Linked DNA regions of Schizosaccharomyces pombe. Changing the gene in region 3 together with the main gene of any one other region gives a genetic interaction. Each region holds a gene or a part of one and is shown on either strand. Other genes may lie near its edges.

Evidence for each region. Genes that interact genetically often act in the same process or in processes that back each other up.
Region 1: of mcm6 (region 3) and cig2, a mutation in one rescues a mutant of the other (synthetic rescue), as found in Schizosaccharomyces pombe (2 studies listed by BioGRID, with this or other methods).
Region 2: of mcm6 (region 3) and bir1, extra expression of one rescues a mutant of the other (dosage rescue), as found in Schizosaccharomyces pombe (one study listed by BioGRID).

Annotation. Positions count from the first base shown.
Region 1 is NC_003424.3:2,708,270-2,714,705, reverse strand, and holds cig2 (G1/S-specific B-type cyclin Cig2), read right to left. Parts: upstream 4,925-6,436; 5' UTR 3,627-4,924; coding exon 2,391-3,626; 3' UTR 1,654-2,390; downstream 1-1,653. Other genes in the region: P2 type calcium transporting P-type ATPase Pmc1, read left to right, coding at 1-1,653; mitochondrial [2Fe-2S] cluster assembly and transfer glutaredoxin Grx5, read right to left, coding at 5,837-5,927, 6,260-6,436. UniProt on the Schizosaccharomyces pombe protein: Essential for the control of the cell cycle at the G2/M and G1/S (mitosis) transition. Interacts with the cdc2 protein kinase to form MPF. Interaction with res2 promotes the phosphorylation of res1 and inhibits MBF-dependent gene transcription.
Region 2 is NC_003421.2:545,262-551,305, reverse strand, and holds bir1 (survivin Bir1), read left to right. Parts: upstream 1-2,006; 5' UTR 2,007-2,157; coding exon 2,158-2,286; exon of another isoform or gene 2,287-2,333; coding exon 2,334-5,198; 3' UTR 5,199-5,501; downstream 5,502-6,044. Other genes in the region: importin alpha family nuclear import signal receptor adaptor Cut15, read left to right, coding at 1-833; tricalbin, C2 domain protein (phospholipid binding) ER-plasma membrane tethering protein Tcb1, read right to left, coding at 5,562-6,044. UniProt on the Schizosaccharomyces pombe protein: Component of the chromosomal passenger complex (CPC), a complex that acts as a key regulator of chromosome segregation and cytokinesis.
Region 3 is NC_003423.3:3,879,561-3,884,780, forward strand, and holds mcm6 (MCM complex subunit Mcm6), read right to left. Parts: upstream 3,498-5,220; 5' UTR 3,437-3,497; coding exon 758-3,436; 3' UTR 538-757; downstream 1-537. Other genes in the region: gea1 (guanyl-nucleotide exchange factor), read right to left, coding at 1-280; sap10 (splicing factor 3B), read left to right, coding at 3,661-3,663, 3,726-3,808, 3,864-4,035; gamma tubulin complex GCP4 subunit Gfh1, read left to right, coding at 4,373-5,220. UniProt on the Schizosaccharomyces pombe protein: Acts as a component of the mcm2-7 complex (mcm complex) which is the putative replicative helicase essential for 'once per cell cycle' DNA replication initiation and elongation in eukaryotic cells.

The DNA of each region.
Region 1 (6,436 bases), on a different chromosome or scaffold from region 3:
CGTGTGTTTGACTCTTGGCCTCCCAAAGATATTCCCACCAATGACGAGGATAGTTCTAATCCTTTGAAATGGGAAGACGCATTTACAGACATGACTTTCTTAGGATTTTTCGGTATCATGGACCCTATTCGGCCAGATGTACCTTTGGCTGTAAAGGTTTGCCAAGGTGCAGGGGTGACTGTTCGTATGGTTACTGGTGATAATATTGTTACTGCTAAGGCTATTGCTTCGCAGTGCGGAATTTACACAGAGGATGGAATATCCATGGAAGGACCGGAATTTCGATCTCTTTCTGATGAGAAACGCTTAGAAATCTTACCCAAATTAGATGTACTTGCACGCTCATCTCCTTTGGACAAACAGTTATTGATTGAAGGACTGCAGAAGCTTGGTAACGTAGTAGCGGTTACAGGTGATGGTACCAATGATGCGCCTGCACTAAAAAAAGCTAACGTCGGCTTTTCAATGGGTAAATCGGGAACCGAAGTTGCCAAGGAGGCGTCCGATATTATCCTTATGGACGACAACTTCTCGTCAATTGTGAAAGCAATTGCTTGGGGAAGAACCGTTAACGACGCTGTAAAAAAATTCCTGCAATTTCAAATTACCGTGAATATTACGGCTGTTTTCTTGACTATTATCTCTGCTGTTGCCTCGACTGACCAAAGCTCTGTTTTAACTGCTGTTCAGCTTTTGTGGGTTAATTTAATTATGGATACACTTGCTGCTCTTGCACTTGCCACTGACCCTCCTACTCCTGAAGTGTTAAAGAGGAAACCTGAGAAACCAGGTGCATCGCTTTTTACTTTTGACATGTGGAAAATGATTATTTGTCAATCTATGTACCAACTTGCTGTTACTTTGGTGCTACACTTTGCTGGTAATAGTATCTTCCATTACCCTTCCAATACTGCGGACATGAATACTATTGTTTTCAATACCTTTGTCTGGCTCCAGCTGTTTAACGAAATTAACAATCGGAGATTGGATAACAAGCTCAATATTTTTGAACGTATTAACCATAACTTCCTCTTTATTGCTATTTTCGTTATTGTTGCTGGTATCCAAGTTATAATTGTTTTTTTCGGAGGTGCCGCATTCTCCGTAAAAAGAATCGATGGTAAAGGATGGGCGATTTCCATCGTGTTTGGTGTTATCTCTATCCCACTTGGAGCCTTGATTCGTTGTGTACCAAACAATTTCCTAAGAAAGGTCCTTCCGGTTAAGACAATTGACACTGTTTTCTCTTGGATTCTAAATCCTAGGTTCCGTTCTAAGCGCCGTTCAACCGATCATGATGTTGAATCCCTTAGTCTTATCCCGTATGAACCCACATCTCCCAACGAAGTTATTGACTCTATTCGTCATTCCCTTGGCTTCGTTCAACGCATTAGAGGAGGAAGGATACGCCACCTACTCAACAACTCCAAATTTGATAAACAGATGGAAGCGCTTCCTGAACGTCTTCGTCCCCGTGTAAAACAGAGATTTATGAAGATCCGTTCACCTTCTGTTTCTTCAGCTACTAGCGTAGCTTTAATGATTCCTATCTCAACACTTGTTAGTGAAGCCAGCGGACGATTAGGTGGGCATGACATTTGGATTTCTCACAATCGCCAAGCTCTCGATAAAAAAAGCTCAAATGTTCATTAATTTAAGACGAATGTATGAGACAGAATAACAGTGATTCTATTATCGAATTTTTCTTTTTTATTTCCTTATTCTCGTTGGAAATCGCCTTCTTTTTCTATATTTGTTATCAATTAAAAGTTTGTTTCTTAGGTTTAAAAATTCCCTTTTTGTATAGAAAACGAGTCAGCTTTACCTTTTTCCTTATGTCTACTTTCTTTGTTTATCTTTATGAGTTACTTGGTTTTTGCCTATTAATGGTTTAGCCAGTTTGTTATATACCGCTTGAGCTTTAAGTTTTATGAATGAATAAAGAAAACTCCATTAATTAGAAACATGTTGTTTAACAGAAATATGAGGAAACAACGTACACGTATTTTGAAATAAAAAATGTAAACGTAACATAAAGTAAGGAATGAAATTATCGAATACTCTAGAATCAACGGAATCATCTAAAAGACAATGTGTGAGGATTAAGCATCAACACGGTTTGTTTAGTAGACTACAAAATTTTCAATTCTAAAACTCTTGGATAAAACTTGGGTATATGGTATATAATTAAGGACTTAGTTATCAAGGAGGAAAGGCTTGATGACATACTTGAAAACAGTCCTTGCATAAAGATGATAAGATTCAAAGAAAGAGAAGAAGAAAAAGAAGCTCTTTAAAAAGTAAATAAGTTATGATAATAAATAATAAAAGAAGAGCTCAACCTCATATTCAACAGAATATTTGCGTAAGAAAATTTATAAGAGCGTTCGTTAGTGACCATCATTTGTTAAAGAAGAAGACGGTTCTGATTGAAGGTCATCATCGTCCGTACGATTGACTGAGTATCGTTGACGGACGAGTTGATGAACAAAAATACTAGCCTTCAGGAACCTTTTTGAGGAGTATTTTTGGAAAAAGGCTTTGTGTTCTAGAGGCTTGTTATGATAATGAAGCATAATATACGCTATCTCCTTTAATTCATGCTCTTCATACCCACCAGAGCTTTCAACTAACTTTGGCGTCCATGGGCCGCGACGCAATAATCGGCGGCTCAAATACATTGCGGCAGCAGCAATTTTAGACATAGGATATCGTAATAAATCGTGGTCAAACAGATAAATTTCTGTTAGGTATTTCCCCAATGTCCTTGTTTGTGCATCATAACCTTCTGCTTGAGATATTTTGCGAAGAAAATTTAAAGGACTTGGATAGGACAAGTCAAAATTGAGAACATTTAACATATAACGTTCAGCGACACAGACATCTTCTACGGTAAAAGCACCATCAGTCATGTAAACAAAGTTTTGTATCGAAGGACACATAACCTCCTCATATTTGCTAGCGATGAGAAGAGCAGTAATGCCTGTTAATTGAAATTTAGACAAAGAGCATGAACGACGCGACAAGAATCGATCAATTATATTGACTGCCAAATAAAGGGTTTCGGGCATTAAACAAAAGTTGGAATGTATTTCCACCAACCATTCATTCAAAATTTCCCTCATTTTCCAGGTTAATTCTTTTTGTTGGTCCATATATTTTGGATTGGGAAGACACTTTAAATCCAGCTTTCTGATGTACTCAAATATTTCGGGTGCGTATTCCTCAGCCATCAAAGGATTGGAGGATAAATGATCATCAACATTAGAGACTCTGTCCTTTTGTAAAGTTTCTACAGATGGATCCGCATTTTTGCTATAAACTTTCAACTTTTTCACGAATTTAGATTCGACAGGTTTATCAGCTTCTTCATTTGTAGATAAATTAGATTCATCGAACGATCTTTTCGCTTTTTTCGTATCCTTCTCATCAGCATTATTTTTACCTACATTGGAAACATCAGATAGGACAGTTCGACGTGGCAGATTAATTTCAAAATTTGTAGATAATTTTGTCTTCTCAGTCCCTTTTGATAAAGCTTGTTTGCCAACAAGTGTGTTTTCATCTTGATAACTATGCTTATTGATTTTAGAACCAACAGGCTTTGAAATTGAATAGAGAGCCATATGAAATATGGATTGATAAATTACCCTTTTATCAACGTATAGAAATATATCTGATTGTTTGTAACCAAAAATGTCTTCTTTTTATTAAAATAAGGAAACTGTTTTTGGTAAATTAATCTCAATTGACAAGATGGATAAATTAGGGAAATTGAGCGATCGAGAAACAGAAAGCACTTATAGCGAATTTTTAAAGTTTCTCTTTTAAATGAGAATAAATCAATGGGTCCGAATTATTCTATTGTTGTTGATAGGAAGAAAGGGAAAGAAATCGTCCAAACATAAACAAATGAATTGTGTAAACAAACCAAACCAACCTACTGTTGTGGATATAAACGAAAAAAAAAAACAAGCAGATGTAATCAAAATTGAGAAAGAAAAAAAAGTAAAGATAAATTTTTTAACGTTCGATTCGAAAATGAATTTACCTCTTTGAGGTATGCAGAATTAACTCTTATAAAGCACAAGAGCGTAGTTTAAAGGGACAATGATTAACGAAGAGAATTAAAAAGAACACTTCTTTGTAATTAGTTTAGAAAAAGCAAAGTTGAAGGTTTGATAAACAAACGATGGATCAGAAAAAGCAGCACTAAGACGAACAATACAAGCAAATAAGTTTGATAGTTCGAATTTAAAAGAATAACAAATGTAGGTGTTATTTTTCCAGCAAGAAAAGCGAGTAAAACCTTTTCAGCTTGAGGGCGAGAGCAATGCTGAAAGGCTAAATAAATTGCAATTGGGAAGACTGTAGGATAGCAATTGTTGCACTAATATCGAAAGGGGACGATTAATTATGTTTTAATAAGATATAGTGTACTTGTTATAAGAGAAATGACTGTCTTTGGCAAGCGCCTCCTGTAAAAGAGTAGGACAATAAGCGAACCAGAACAAAGAAAACAAAGAAACTTAAAACGGTAAAGTACACAATAGAAACCGACACTTAGCAGCTGAAAAGTGTAAAAAATTAATTAAAAGAAAATAAGTACAGTAGAAATAAGATACTCCGGAGTAAAAACTAGCTTGACACTCAAAATACTGAAAGCTTAATTTACTATTGTTTACAGTTAAAACCAGCTCAACCTAGTATATGGAGCCTAAACTGATCCCTATAGCATGTATTTGAAAAAAGAAATTAGAAAGAAGGAATATTCAAAGAGAAAAGAAGAAACGCAAAAAGCAGCGACAACAAGAGAAGGACTTCAAGGTGGATCCAACCTTTGGTAGAGTCTTGTAAAAGGGAAATTACACTTGTACAAGTGCCTTTGAAGCCTTTCTTGTAACTCAACACAAGTCAAAGTGTCAGTGAAAAAGCAAAAGACAGGCATAGCAAGCATATAAAAGAAGTAAACGCGACGCGACGCGAGAAACGCGCTTTCGCGCAAGCTAAGTTGCGTGCACCTCGTTTTGGCGTGTTTTAGAGCGCGCGCTTTGGTGTAGCGTTTTGTATATTACAATTCACTATGCGCGTGCCGTCATTACATGCTACACAAACTAACGCAATTTGAATAGAATTAAAAAGGGAGAGTTCGCTAATACTTTATATCGCAGTTACACTATAATTCGCTATATGCTGAGCTTGGAAGGAATAATGTTGTTTGTCAAGAAACACAAGCATCTGTTAATAAAAGTTTGGTAAACGTCTCGTAACGTCGATAAGCCAGTACTTTATATAATCAAAGAAGAATTTTTAAATCATATCAGATAACCAATCGTAATGCTTTCTGTGAATTACACCTACCAAGACATTGTTCTGTGCAACAACATAAGCAAAATAAAACAGTATTCAGCAATAGCGCTTTAACATTAAATCTAATTTACGACATTTTTTTTAAAAAAAAAGTCAAGGAATAACAATAAGGCATAAATCACGACACTAATTTCCATTCTCTATGTCATTTGGATGGACATGAACATGAACATGATCGCTTTCAAATTGATATTGAGGTTGATCCAAAAAATAACTTCCGATAAAAATTATTTTTTCTTATAGAGCTCTTTTACATTATTTCCAACATTTTGTCATGAAAGGGCATGAACACAAAAAAGAGGAGAAACAGAATTTCAAAGCTTCATTAAAGAATATCAAGCGTACAGCAAAAAGATAATTGAATAACGTCTGATTGATATACATGGCCTGTGGTGTCAAGTTGACCAATAAACTAAAAAATGCACAAGACCGTGGTACGTTGTGCAAATTAATTTGCAATGTGGACTCAATCCTTTTTAGTAGTTTCCTCTTCACTATCCTTTGGCTGTTCAGGGGCCAAAGCATTTATTTCTTTTAGAATTTTGTGAAGCTCTCCTCTACAGACAAATTGTTAATACAGAAATGTTGACAAGGAGAAATAATTAAATATGAGAGAAAAAATGAGGGAGAGAACAATGTGGCATATATAGACGACGAATTAAAGACACTGATACACTAATAGTTGATTTTTATCCAATGCTTTAAAAGGGAAAGTTCATTTGAAGAAAGAGCGAAAATATAACAGGGTTTTTTTATCTTTAATATCAACTAGAGTGATTAAACAGTTGTAGAATCCTCCTTCATCATCTTTAACATTTCCTATGACACCTCCTCAATCCTCACCGTCTCTCTACCAAATAATAAAAATACAGTTTAAAACATTACTTACGATTTATGCATGGACGCCAAGATATCACTACCGCCCACGAATTCTCCGTTAATATAAAGTTGAGGAATCGTAGGCCAGTCGCTGAACTCCTTTATACCTTCACGTAGCTCATCATTACTCAAAACGTTGTACGTAACTAATTTATCGGAAGCAACGTTTTCTAATGAAAGAATTTGA
Region 2 (6,044 bases), on a different chromosome or scaffold from region 3:
TTGATGCCCTTTGGGCCATTTCCTATTTATCTGATGGCGCTAATGAGAAGATCCAAGCCATCATTGATGCAGGGATTCCTCGTAGGCTTGTTGAACTTTTAATGCATCCTAGCGCTCAAGTACAGACTCCTGCTCTCCGATCCGTAGGAAATATTGTTACAGGAGATGACGTTCAGACCCAGGTCATCATTAATTGTGGTGCTTTAAGTGCTTTACTTTCTTTGTTAAGCAGTCCACGCGATGGCGTTCGTAAGGAAGCCTGTTGGACAATTAGTAATATAACGGCCGGTAATTCTTCTCAAATTCAATATGTTATTGAAGCTAACATTATTCCTCCTTTAATTCATCTCCTTACGACCGCTGACTTTAAAATCCAAAAGGAAGCCTGCTGGGCCATTTCCAATGCCACATCCGGTGGCGCTCGTCGTCCCGACCAAATTCGCTACCTTGTAGAGCAAGGCGCAATCAAACCTTTATGTAATTTGCTGGCTTGTCAAGATAACAAGATTATCCAGGTTGCTTTAGATGGTATTGAAAATATTTTGCGAGTGGGTGAACTTGATCGCGCGAATAACCCTGATAAAATCAATTTATACGCCGTCTACGTTGAGGATGCTGGTGGTATGGATTTGATCCACGAATGTCAGAACTCATCTAATTCGGAAATTTACCAAAAAGCTTACAATATTATCGAAAAGTTTTTCGGTGAAGAAGACGAAATCGAAGAGCTTGAACCAGAAACCGTCGGTGATACGTTTACATTTGGAACTACACAAGAGCCTGCCGGCGATTTTCAATTTTCGGCGACTAATGCCGAAGATATGGCTATGTAATGATACTTCACATACATTATTCATTTATGCTTGTTTAGGTTTCGTTCTTTTTTAGATTGTTCATTTTCATAAACATCGAAGTGGCTTCATGATTTTGGCTGTGGTCCTGTGGTTTATAATATCGTTAAATTATTTCATTGAGCAATTGAGGATGCCGATTTTTTCATTTACCTTTACGTGTATGGCGCGATTGTTATTAGACGAGATTATTACATTTTAGGAGGTTTACCTAGACATACATTCCGCAGTTGTCACTCTTCTCATTTTGTTATATTGTTGTTTAATGATTGTGCTGGAAAGTTGAACATCTTGTACTTGTTAAATTATTTCTCAAGTCCGTCCTGAGTGTGCGTGTCGAAACGAACTTTTGTTTACTTTTTTTCATTCACTTTCTAACCAACGAATGGTTTATAGATCGTGGTTATTTTGTGAGTTTATTATTTGTTTTATTGACGAAACACAGGAATCATTCAACAGTTTTGGTCTTTGTTGTCGATTTAGTTGTAGCTTTTGGCTGCTCCACTACTAGATACAGGTTTTGTACCTTTGAAACAACATGGGACTAATTCAATTAATTTATTTTACATTGTCTTCATGATTGTACTTCCTCTATTGCTTAACTTTTATTTGAGGTTTTAGGAAGTTCAATATTTCCACCGCATTTGTCATCCTCTTTTCAACTTTTTTCTAATGAGACAGCTGATTCATCATTGTATTCATAACTTTGACCATCGCATCGAAAGAGGAAAATGAAATCAGATTTGTCTTGTTGATATGCATAGTTTCCTTTGAATAGCCATGAAAATGTAGCCTTATTCTTCTTTCACGATGCTCCATACTTTAGAGTTGGAGCTTTAATATTATTATATGTAACAATATTAGTACCAAACTATGATACATTACTTTGTGCTAGCAAAAATCTTCTAGTTAAATTTTGAATTTATTAACAAAGATCATAAGGCTGACATTAAAGACAATAATTGAATCTTCCTTACTCAATATAATATCTAAACCTAGTCATCTCGAAAAATTTGTAACCAGTGAACCTTCCATTTATTAAAGTCTGCTATACTACTTAACGACATTTTACGCAATATAACGACATTGTTCAATTACAGTAAACTCGTGTGCCCTAGCAATCTACAAAAAGTAAACATTACCCATATACGCCTTGCGAGGCGACCTTCCCTATCCTATGCATTTGGAAGTATCTGATATTGTCTAAAGACAATAACCAGAAGTTTTAAAAAAATTAATTTTATAGTTTTAAGGATCGGAAGTCGAAATTTGGTATCTAAATTTCACTTGTTGAAGCTTGCTCAGAATGAAACCGATAACGTCTTCTTCTAAACGCCGATGGAATCGGTTTCGAAGGGAAATGTGTAATTACTCTAAACGACTTGACACTTTCCAGAAAAAAAAATGGCCGCGAGCCAAACCGACGCCAGAAACTGTATGTTGACGATAGAGTTTTCATCTGTGTTGCTAACAAGAAAATAGCTTGCTACTGTCGGTTTCTATTACAATCCAATCTCTGAATCTAATTCTGAAGAAAGACTTGATAATGTTACATGCTATATGTGTACCAAGTCATTTTATGACTGGGAGGATGATGATGATCCATTGAAAGAGCATATTACTCATAGCCCCAGCTGTCCATGGGCATATATTTTATCCTCAAAAAACAATCCAAACCAGAACCCCCAAGCTGCAGCTCTCACAAAATGTCGAGAACAAACTTTTGTTGATAAAGTATGGCCGTATACCAATCGCCCTGATTATCACTGTGAGCCGAGTGTAATGGCTGCTTCTGGTTTTGTATACAATCCAACTGCTGATGCTAAAGATGCAGCTCATTGCTTATATTGTGATATTAATCTTCATGATTGGGAACCGGATGATGACCCTTACACCGAGCACAAACGCCGTCGTGCGGACTGTGTGTTTTTTACATGGAAAGACCCAAATAGCTTATCTCCTACTAAACTGTCTTTTTTATCTACGTCGAACATTGACCCTGAAGACTTGACCGAGGATAATTCCATTCTTCCCGTTTCTCCCACCCGAGATTCAACAAAATCTCATAAAACTTTAAATTTCTCCCCTAGTAGAAAGAATAATCTTAATGCACGTCCTTTAACAATGTCCCTTTATACTAATACCTCTGAGGAGAAAGACTCACAACCCACCCGTGCACCACAAAGTCCAACGAAGCCCGTTTTACTTACGGCTCCAAGGCGAAAAAATAAATCTCCAAAAAAATCAAAGCCAGCAGTCTTTAAACCTGTTAAGCCAATTTTTTCTGATGAAGACGAAGATGACGACGACTTGACCGCCTCTCAACCCTTCTCTAAAGGGATATGTAATGACTCTATGCAAGTAGCCAAAAAGAATTTTACAGAAGAAATTCCACTTAAAGAAGATGAAAAAGATAATGAGCTGGAACATCTTGTATCACCAGCTACATCCGTCCACACAACTGTTTCTGACATAACTGGACATCAATCTGTAACTGATGAAAGTGATGAGCAAAATAATTGTATGTCTACGCCGCCGAAAATTGAAATCGAATCAAAAATTGAAGAAGAAATATCTGTGGTTTCCAAATCAAAGGAAATTTCGTCTTCTGTTTCTTCTGTTGGTAAAGAGCAAAATCATACAGAAAAACAAGTTGCTATCGAAACTCCGGAACAGCAGAAGGTTGAAAAAGAAGATGAGCATTTAAATCTTCAAGGTTCGTTCATAGAGGAGTCCACAAAACAACCAATCTCTTCAAAGCCATCAACTTCATCTCCCGATATGACTGATGCTGCAACAGGAGGTAGAGTGTCTTCTTCAAGCTTCAGAGATAAAATATTACAAACCAATTTTTCACCAAGGAGTACAATAGATTCGTTTAGCAACATTTCAAAAAAGAGAAACTCGGAAGAAGCAAATGATGAAAATGACGAGACCAATTTGAAAATACCAATTCCTGAAAAGAAGAGAAAATTTCAAGAAGTTTTACAATCTAAAAACATTTTAGTTTCGTCTACTGAGGATTCACATGAACCAGTAAAAGTTACAGAGGACAGCCAAACTGCCATTCACGTTAGTAAATTTGAGGATCTTGAGAATAAGAGTATGGAGTCTGAACAGTCACTACAATTGCTTTCTGAATCTGAAAATGATGACAAACCTTTAATTGATCTAATTCCTCTCTTAGCAATTAAAAGGAAGGATAATCTTGTAAGCGGAGTTTTAGAGAAGGGAAAAAGTACCTCAACATCAAAAACAAAGTTTGATACATCAATAGTGGACTTTATAGAAAAACCAAAAACTGAAATTAGCGAAGTGCTTCCTGAGGAAAAAAGAAAGGCCATTTGCGATGAGTCCCAAACGGTTAGAGTTTCTATAGATAGAGGAGTGACCAAGACGAGAGACGTATCAAGTCCTGTTTCCGATGAAAAAAGTGAAAATGTTAATCATGAGGAAGCTAATTCTGGTCATACTGTCATGAATGTTCATTCAAGCCTGGATCCCCAGCCGATCGTACAACCCAATGAACTTGAATCAGGAAGTTACTTAAAGGATCTTCCTGACAGAAACGTCGGAAACTCCGAAAAAGTGACATTTCAAGAAGATGACATTAATTCTCCTAAGCTACAGAGCAAGAACAATCAAACCGTTGAAGCTGTTAATACAGAAACTTCTGATAAATTGCAAGAAAAGGAGGCCAACCATGAATTAGAAAATATTGAAAAGATTGAAGAAAAATTGACTGAGGTAGACAAAGTCTCGTTAAGTGATGCTTTTCCTGATCAAGAAATCAAAAATTCTAGGACTTCTGTACAGAATGGTACTAGATCAGTGTCGAAAAATACACCTGAGAAGGAAACGAAGGTAGATAAAATCGATAATGTAAGTAAAAAGGATGTTGAAACTTCACCTGGTTCTTGTGAAACCTCTTCAGCTTTCGCTAAAACTTACGCTGAGAAAGAAGTAACGAGTATAAATTTGCCAAGTGTCCGGAAGCCTTTAGATGAATCCTACTATGACCATTCGATCAGTCCATTTGATCCATTGTGCCAATCTTCATTTTTGGCTCCTCAAACTCCTGTCAAATCAAAACATGCTTTGCCCTTAGTTGAAGCAAATGCACCACCATGGGAACCCATAGATTTCTCGAGTCTATTAGAATCTCCAGTACCGAATCCTGTAGAGCCAAACAAACTAAGTGAAAAAGAACTGGATATGACCGTTGAGCAGTGGATTAAATTTATGTATGCTAAATGTGCAAAAGAGTTTGAAGAAGCCTGTGAAGAAAAAATAGAATGGTTACTGGAAGAAGGTAAGCGGGCGGAAGAATACATACAAAACTTATAATTTTACATATTGTGTTTCTGTATTTATGGACCGTCTCGCTTTAAGCGAAAATGTTGGCGGGCTACATTTTAAAGTAATGTGAACTAAATTTGTCTGAATGCACTGTCAGCGTCCTTTTCTTTCTTTTTCTTTTATGTTTCTTGTTTTGTTAATCGGATCCTCTTATTATCTGTATTTATATCAACACTACGCTAATCTGGTGATGTAGTCTTAATAATTCTTCTTATAGTATTTATTTTTTTGGCAGCACAATATACAAATATGGTACTATATTTGAGTCAATATGAATAGAATGAATTAAACAACAAGATAGTGAAAGTAAAGTATAACGAACGTTGAAAAGAACCGGAAGCATTACCCATACTACTCAGCTTCGACCTTAATTTCAACAGAAGATGAACCACCAATTACAACCCTAAATGTACCAATAGCATCTTCTTGAAATACCGCTTCACCCAGTTTAGTATGTCCAAGCAAGTTGGAAGTAACGGCTGAAATTCGAAGTTCGTCACCCAAACTCCATTTGACCGGAATCTCTTCGTTCCATGAGGGAGACGGGCCTTTCCGAGATTTGGTTTTAAAGCTGTGGTCTTGATTGTCTGTAACGATAATCTTTATAGTCTTATGAGGCATATTTTTACCTTGACCAACGTATACTTTATACTTTTTCTGTGCCAATTCAGGTGCTCCCGTAGTCTTGTCAATAGTGCTAGTTAAGGCAGCGTTTGCAGACTCAGGTGCAATAGCCGGTGGCACAGAAGCAGAAGAAGAAGCTTCCTGGGTTGTCGTGAGATCAGAGCGAGATGGATTCTTTTCCAAGGAACGCCTAAACATGCCCATTTTGGA
Region 3 (5,220 bases):
GGTTCGTCAAATCTTCTTTTAACTGTGAAAACTCCATAACCAATGGATATCGGATACTACTGCTTTTTTCGCCATTTGTTTTCCATCGGCTTTCTAAACCATCAGCCAGAAATTCGTCTTTAAGTGTTGAGACTCCTAAAATGGATGCAACACCAGAATTCCTCCATCTCGTGGTTTTTCTAATTGCCGTCACGACAGTTATAATTTCATTGATCACCAAGGAGGACGGTGAAATCGAACATAACGGCTCTTGGTTAGGAGATGCGCGAGGCACTTCCATAGCCCTTCTGTAGCTACTAATCAAGAGTCTTTATAAAAAGTAACTTGAGGTGTTTACTATTGTAAATAGCGTAGAGGTTTAGTCCTGAACAGTCTCACCCTTCCTTTGGTGTTGAACGGATTTCAGCAGATATGCTTCAACATATTAACATTGCTTAACGTATCACTATACTAATTTACCTGGGTTATATGTTTGAAATAAACATAGATTAATCTGATAAATGTCTAGATCAGGAAAATGAGTATATATTTTTCGGTAGGATCCAATAGTATTATCAAATTTAGTGAATAAAAGTACAAAAAAAGAGTGTAAAGATTAAAATAACAAATCAGGGTTTCTACGGTATGCAGTGAGGAAAAAAAAAATACACCAATTTCGTGAATTAAAGTAGTGCTTCAACAATTAATGTCAGGTCTGTTTCAAAAATACGCCTCACTGATAAAACTTATAAGAGATCGTTACGAATCTTTTATAACCTTAGTTCGGAACATCGCCATTGCTCAGTAGAGCATCAATGTCACAGTTAGGGTGTATTGAAAATACGCGTTCTTCAAAAGGAAGCCTCACGGCGCTGTCAGTTAAATTTTGAATTTCCATGATGATCGATTCGTGAACAAGCCTGGTTAATACCTTACGCACAAGACCAACCTCATAGATGATGTCTTCCTCGGTATGGAATTGGTCTTCCCTAAGCTCGAGATATGACTGAACTAGGTCTCCCGCTGGTACTCCATCTACACCTTCAGTAGAGCGCTGGCGTAAAACCTGTAATATTCCGTTCATAATCGAAACATATTTGTCGTAAGTAATTTTTACTTTTGGTTTCTGCAAAGCTTCTTCCGAAGAAACATTATCATTGCCATTTGTTGTATTAGTATTATCATTCTCAAGTTCTTGGGCCTCTGCATCATCTTCTTCAACCTCAATATCATCTCTTTCCACATGGATAATTGATTGACGTAATAAAGAGTATGCTTCGTTGACAAATGCAGGAGTAATATCATCTACACAGTTTGCTCTTGCAATGGCTTCTGATAGACGAATCATTGACTCCAGTTGTCGCACGGTAATACGATATGAATTTTTACCAGCACCTTGCGCGTCATCCATCCGCAATTGCTTGTACTTTTTAACAATTTCGGCACAAGATTCTGTATTTAACTTTGGTTTGAAAGTCCTTGCATATCTGATATATCGTTGAAGTTGCTCAGTACTAAATTCAGGTTGCATGGCATCATCCCGTAAACGATGAATGTCAACAATATGCTTAGCTAAATGTCTATCAACTGATTCATTGCACTCATCTAGTACAACGAAGAATAAATCAAACCGTGACATGATAGGAGCAGACATATTGATGTTATTCCGCAAAGTTGTTTTTCGGTTATAGCGGCCACCTATTGGATTTGCAGCAGCAAGGATAGATGTCCGTGCGTTTAATGTAGCTTGAATTCCAGCTTTTGCTATAGATATCGTTTGTTGTTCCATTGCTTCATGAATAGCAACTTGGTCTGACAGATCCATTTTATCGAATTCATCTATAGCACATATTCCATTGTCAGCCAACATTAAAGCGCCTGCTTCTATAGTAAAATCCCCAGTTTCTTCGTCCTTAACAACTGCAGCTGTGAGACCGGCCGCAGATGATGCCTTTCCAGAAGTGTAGATTGCACGAGGAAGAAAATTGCAAACGTATTTAAGAAATTGTGATTTCGAAGTACTGGGGTCGCCGACAATACAAATGTTCAGGTCGCCACGAAGATTTATACCTTCAGGAGTTAACTTGTGAACACCACCCATTAACTGTAAAAGAATCCCCTTCTTAATTATTTCATGACCATAAACAGAGGGAGCCAGTGAGTTTGTCAAACGAGAATAAATATGATCTGAATGCACCATCGCACGTAAATCATCAATTTCTTCTTGAGAAAGCGATTGCAAAAATTCATCTTGCTCTTCGATCCCTTGAGAACCATCCCCTCTGACATCCGCACCGCTTTTATCATTTGCATCATCTGGTTGAACCATGCAAGCTAAAAAAGATAGTTTATATGTAAGATCACGTACACCTAAAGACTTCAGTCCTGTCACACCATCTGCATCTCTACCACCAAAATTGCGAGAATCTCGATAAGCTTCTGGCTTTACACCAGGAATTCCTAGCTGTGAGACATCTGGAACGGCAATAAGAATTCCCGTAAATGCGCATTTGTCACCAGCCTTAGCCCTTTCAACAATATCTCCGCGCAAAATTACGTCCAAAGTTCGTGGCATAGAACCCGTAGGAATCTCGTTGCTATTTTCTTGAATGCGCACCTTTTGCCAGTCCTGAAAAGAAGACTGTGAAATATTGAGCCGCCAACTTCTTTTATTAGCACAAAGTTCATTAGGGCATTGAGTTGGTTCAGTATAGCGAAATGCTTGCTCAACATTTGAAACTACAGTGTGGCATTCCTCACAGATAAAAGTACCTTGTGCTAATTCAGGGCGTACTTCAGAAGTACGAGTAACTGTACCTGTAATAGTCGTGAGTCTACCGATACGATCTGTTCGTAAGTCCCGAATTGTGGATCGAAAGGGTAAATTGTAAAATGCAAGAGCAAATGTTTTGTCACTGGCTTTAAAGTTCGGTGAAAGTGAAGCATTTTCACGAGAAAGAGAACTTCTATAATATTCTGGTTCAAACTTTTCAATCAACTTTTGTAAAGCTCGAAGTAAGAAAGGAGAAAATCGATAATATTGCTCAACTATCGCAAGAGCTAACACATCATTGTACGAGGTTAAATGCTTATAATCAACGTAAACGGTATGAATCTCATACATTGCCAATCCATGAATCTGTTGAACATAATATTTCTCTTGTGATGCAGAAGGGAGAGCATCACCTCCAGCAACGCGGTCATCAGAAAATGACAATAAAAACTCTTCAAAGGCTTCACGTACTGATTCTCCGGTTGTATCAATTACCTTTGGTATGGCTTCTCCTATAGCAGCAAAAGGTTTCCTTTTCACCATTCCATCATCCTCGAGCATAGCACTCGACTCAGGTTGTGAAGGCATACTTACAGTTGGCCTGTCCCCAACTTCTGAAGTTTGAAACCCATAACGATATGCAGGAGTTGAAGCATTATTACCCTGAGATGCAAGAGAAGACATCTTCAAGTGTAGTGCTCCCTATTATCAAAAAACTGCAACTACAGGTTTTTGGTCAAAGGATAGCAATGTTTATTTTGAAACGTTTATTTCTGTGGTTGCTTTGGTGCGCTAGAAATCGCAATTTAGAATTGCAAATTACAGTATTATACCTTATTCGTTTCAATTAACAATATGTGTTAAAAAAACCCAGTCTGAACATTATACCACATATTCCAATATATACTATGGTAAGAAAAAAATTCTTGAATTATCTCTATTCTATGCTTCTTTCATTTATTAACGATTGTAGGCAGACAGGTTGCGCTCTCAAGCAAAACTAGAACAGTTACAAGCGCGTTATGTTGGTGTCGGTAATGCGTTTACCACCAAATAGTAAGTACTAATCGGTTTATTTGACAAATGAATTTTCGCTCACCATATAAACTAGTGAATGGATGGTAAATCAGCACCGGGATACTTTGTCTTCTGTAGTGGGGCATCCACCGTTGCTCGCATATATGGCAACGGCGCTCGGCGAACCGAGAGTCCAAGTTCGCAAAAACCTATTAGAAAAAATGATCATGCCATGTGGACCACCTCCCCCTTCTAATCAATTTTAAAGTGTTGTGTTTACCTGTTGCCCAAAATTAATGTCGTTAAACCTTCGCTCGTCTGAGACTTTGTTTGTTTAAGATAAACAGTACCTACTAGGTTATTACAAAATAATATATATATATATATATATATATATATATTAATTGAATTATATGCAATGCTACATTGATTATTGTTCATTGTAACAACGCAAGACATTCCCTAGTCGTTACCTTCAAAGTAACACGAATAAGTTTTAGCTATTTATCTCATTTACTACGAAAGCCTCCTTTGGAGTAGTTTACTTAAATTGGCTATATGTTGAATATTTTCATGCAAACTCTGTAACAATAAATACATTATATGTTGCATGAGATTATTTTGTTGCTCGCAGGGAATACTTCTGGCCTGTTTATTGAGAAAAATGGTCAAATACTACTGCATCCATCTGTTCAACCATTACACCCTGGTGAACGAGAATTAATTAATGACATAGTATCTTTGGCAAGTAAAAGGAAAAGGATAGAACGATATATTGAAATTTTTGATGAAGATTTGATTCAGCAAAACCAGTTTCTTCTTAAAGCTCTTAGACTTCTGCTTTCGAAAAAATTATTTCTTTATGATGAAAGTCTAGCTAATTTAGAGCGGATGATTATATCCAGCGATCCTTATTTTGTAGGTTCCGGAAAATTCGTATCCTTGGCGCAATTAGAAGCGCATTTAGCAGATTGGAAAGAAACTTTATCTAGTCTGCTAGTACTTCAAGGTAATATTTCTCAATGCTTGAGTGTAGCTTCTACGTTTCAAAAGCTGCATAATATGTATATGGGCTCTACTCATTTGAATTTTAAAAAGCTGGTTTTAGAGTGTGAATGTGCTTTTCAGAAGACTTGGCTTGACGAATTAGTGCAGTATTTGGTAAATGATTCCGGCGATGACAGCTTCAAATGTTCGTTTTTATGCGGTGATACTAAAGATTTTGTATCTTGTAGCAATAATGTCCCTTTTTTGACCCAAGACATCGTTAATTGCTTAGTTTCAATACGAACGTGTATGCTCAATGCAAAAAAATGTTTCACAGACGCTTTCTGTGAAATTCTTAGATGTTTCTACAGACTGGTATATGAAATGCCTTTGCCTTTAACGAAATCTTCAGTGACAAAATTAGCAGATGAAATGTTCACTCTGGTATCAGAAAAAATAATATT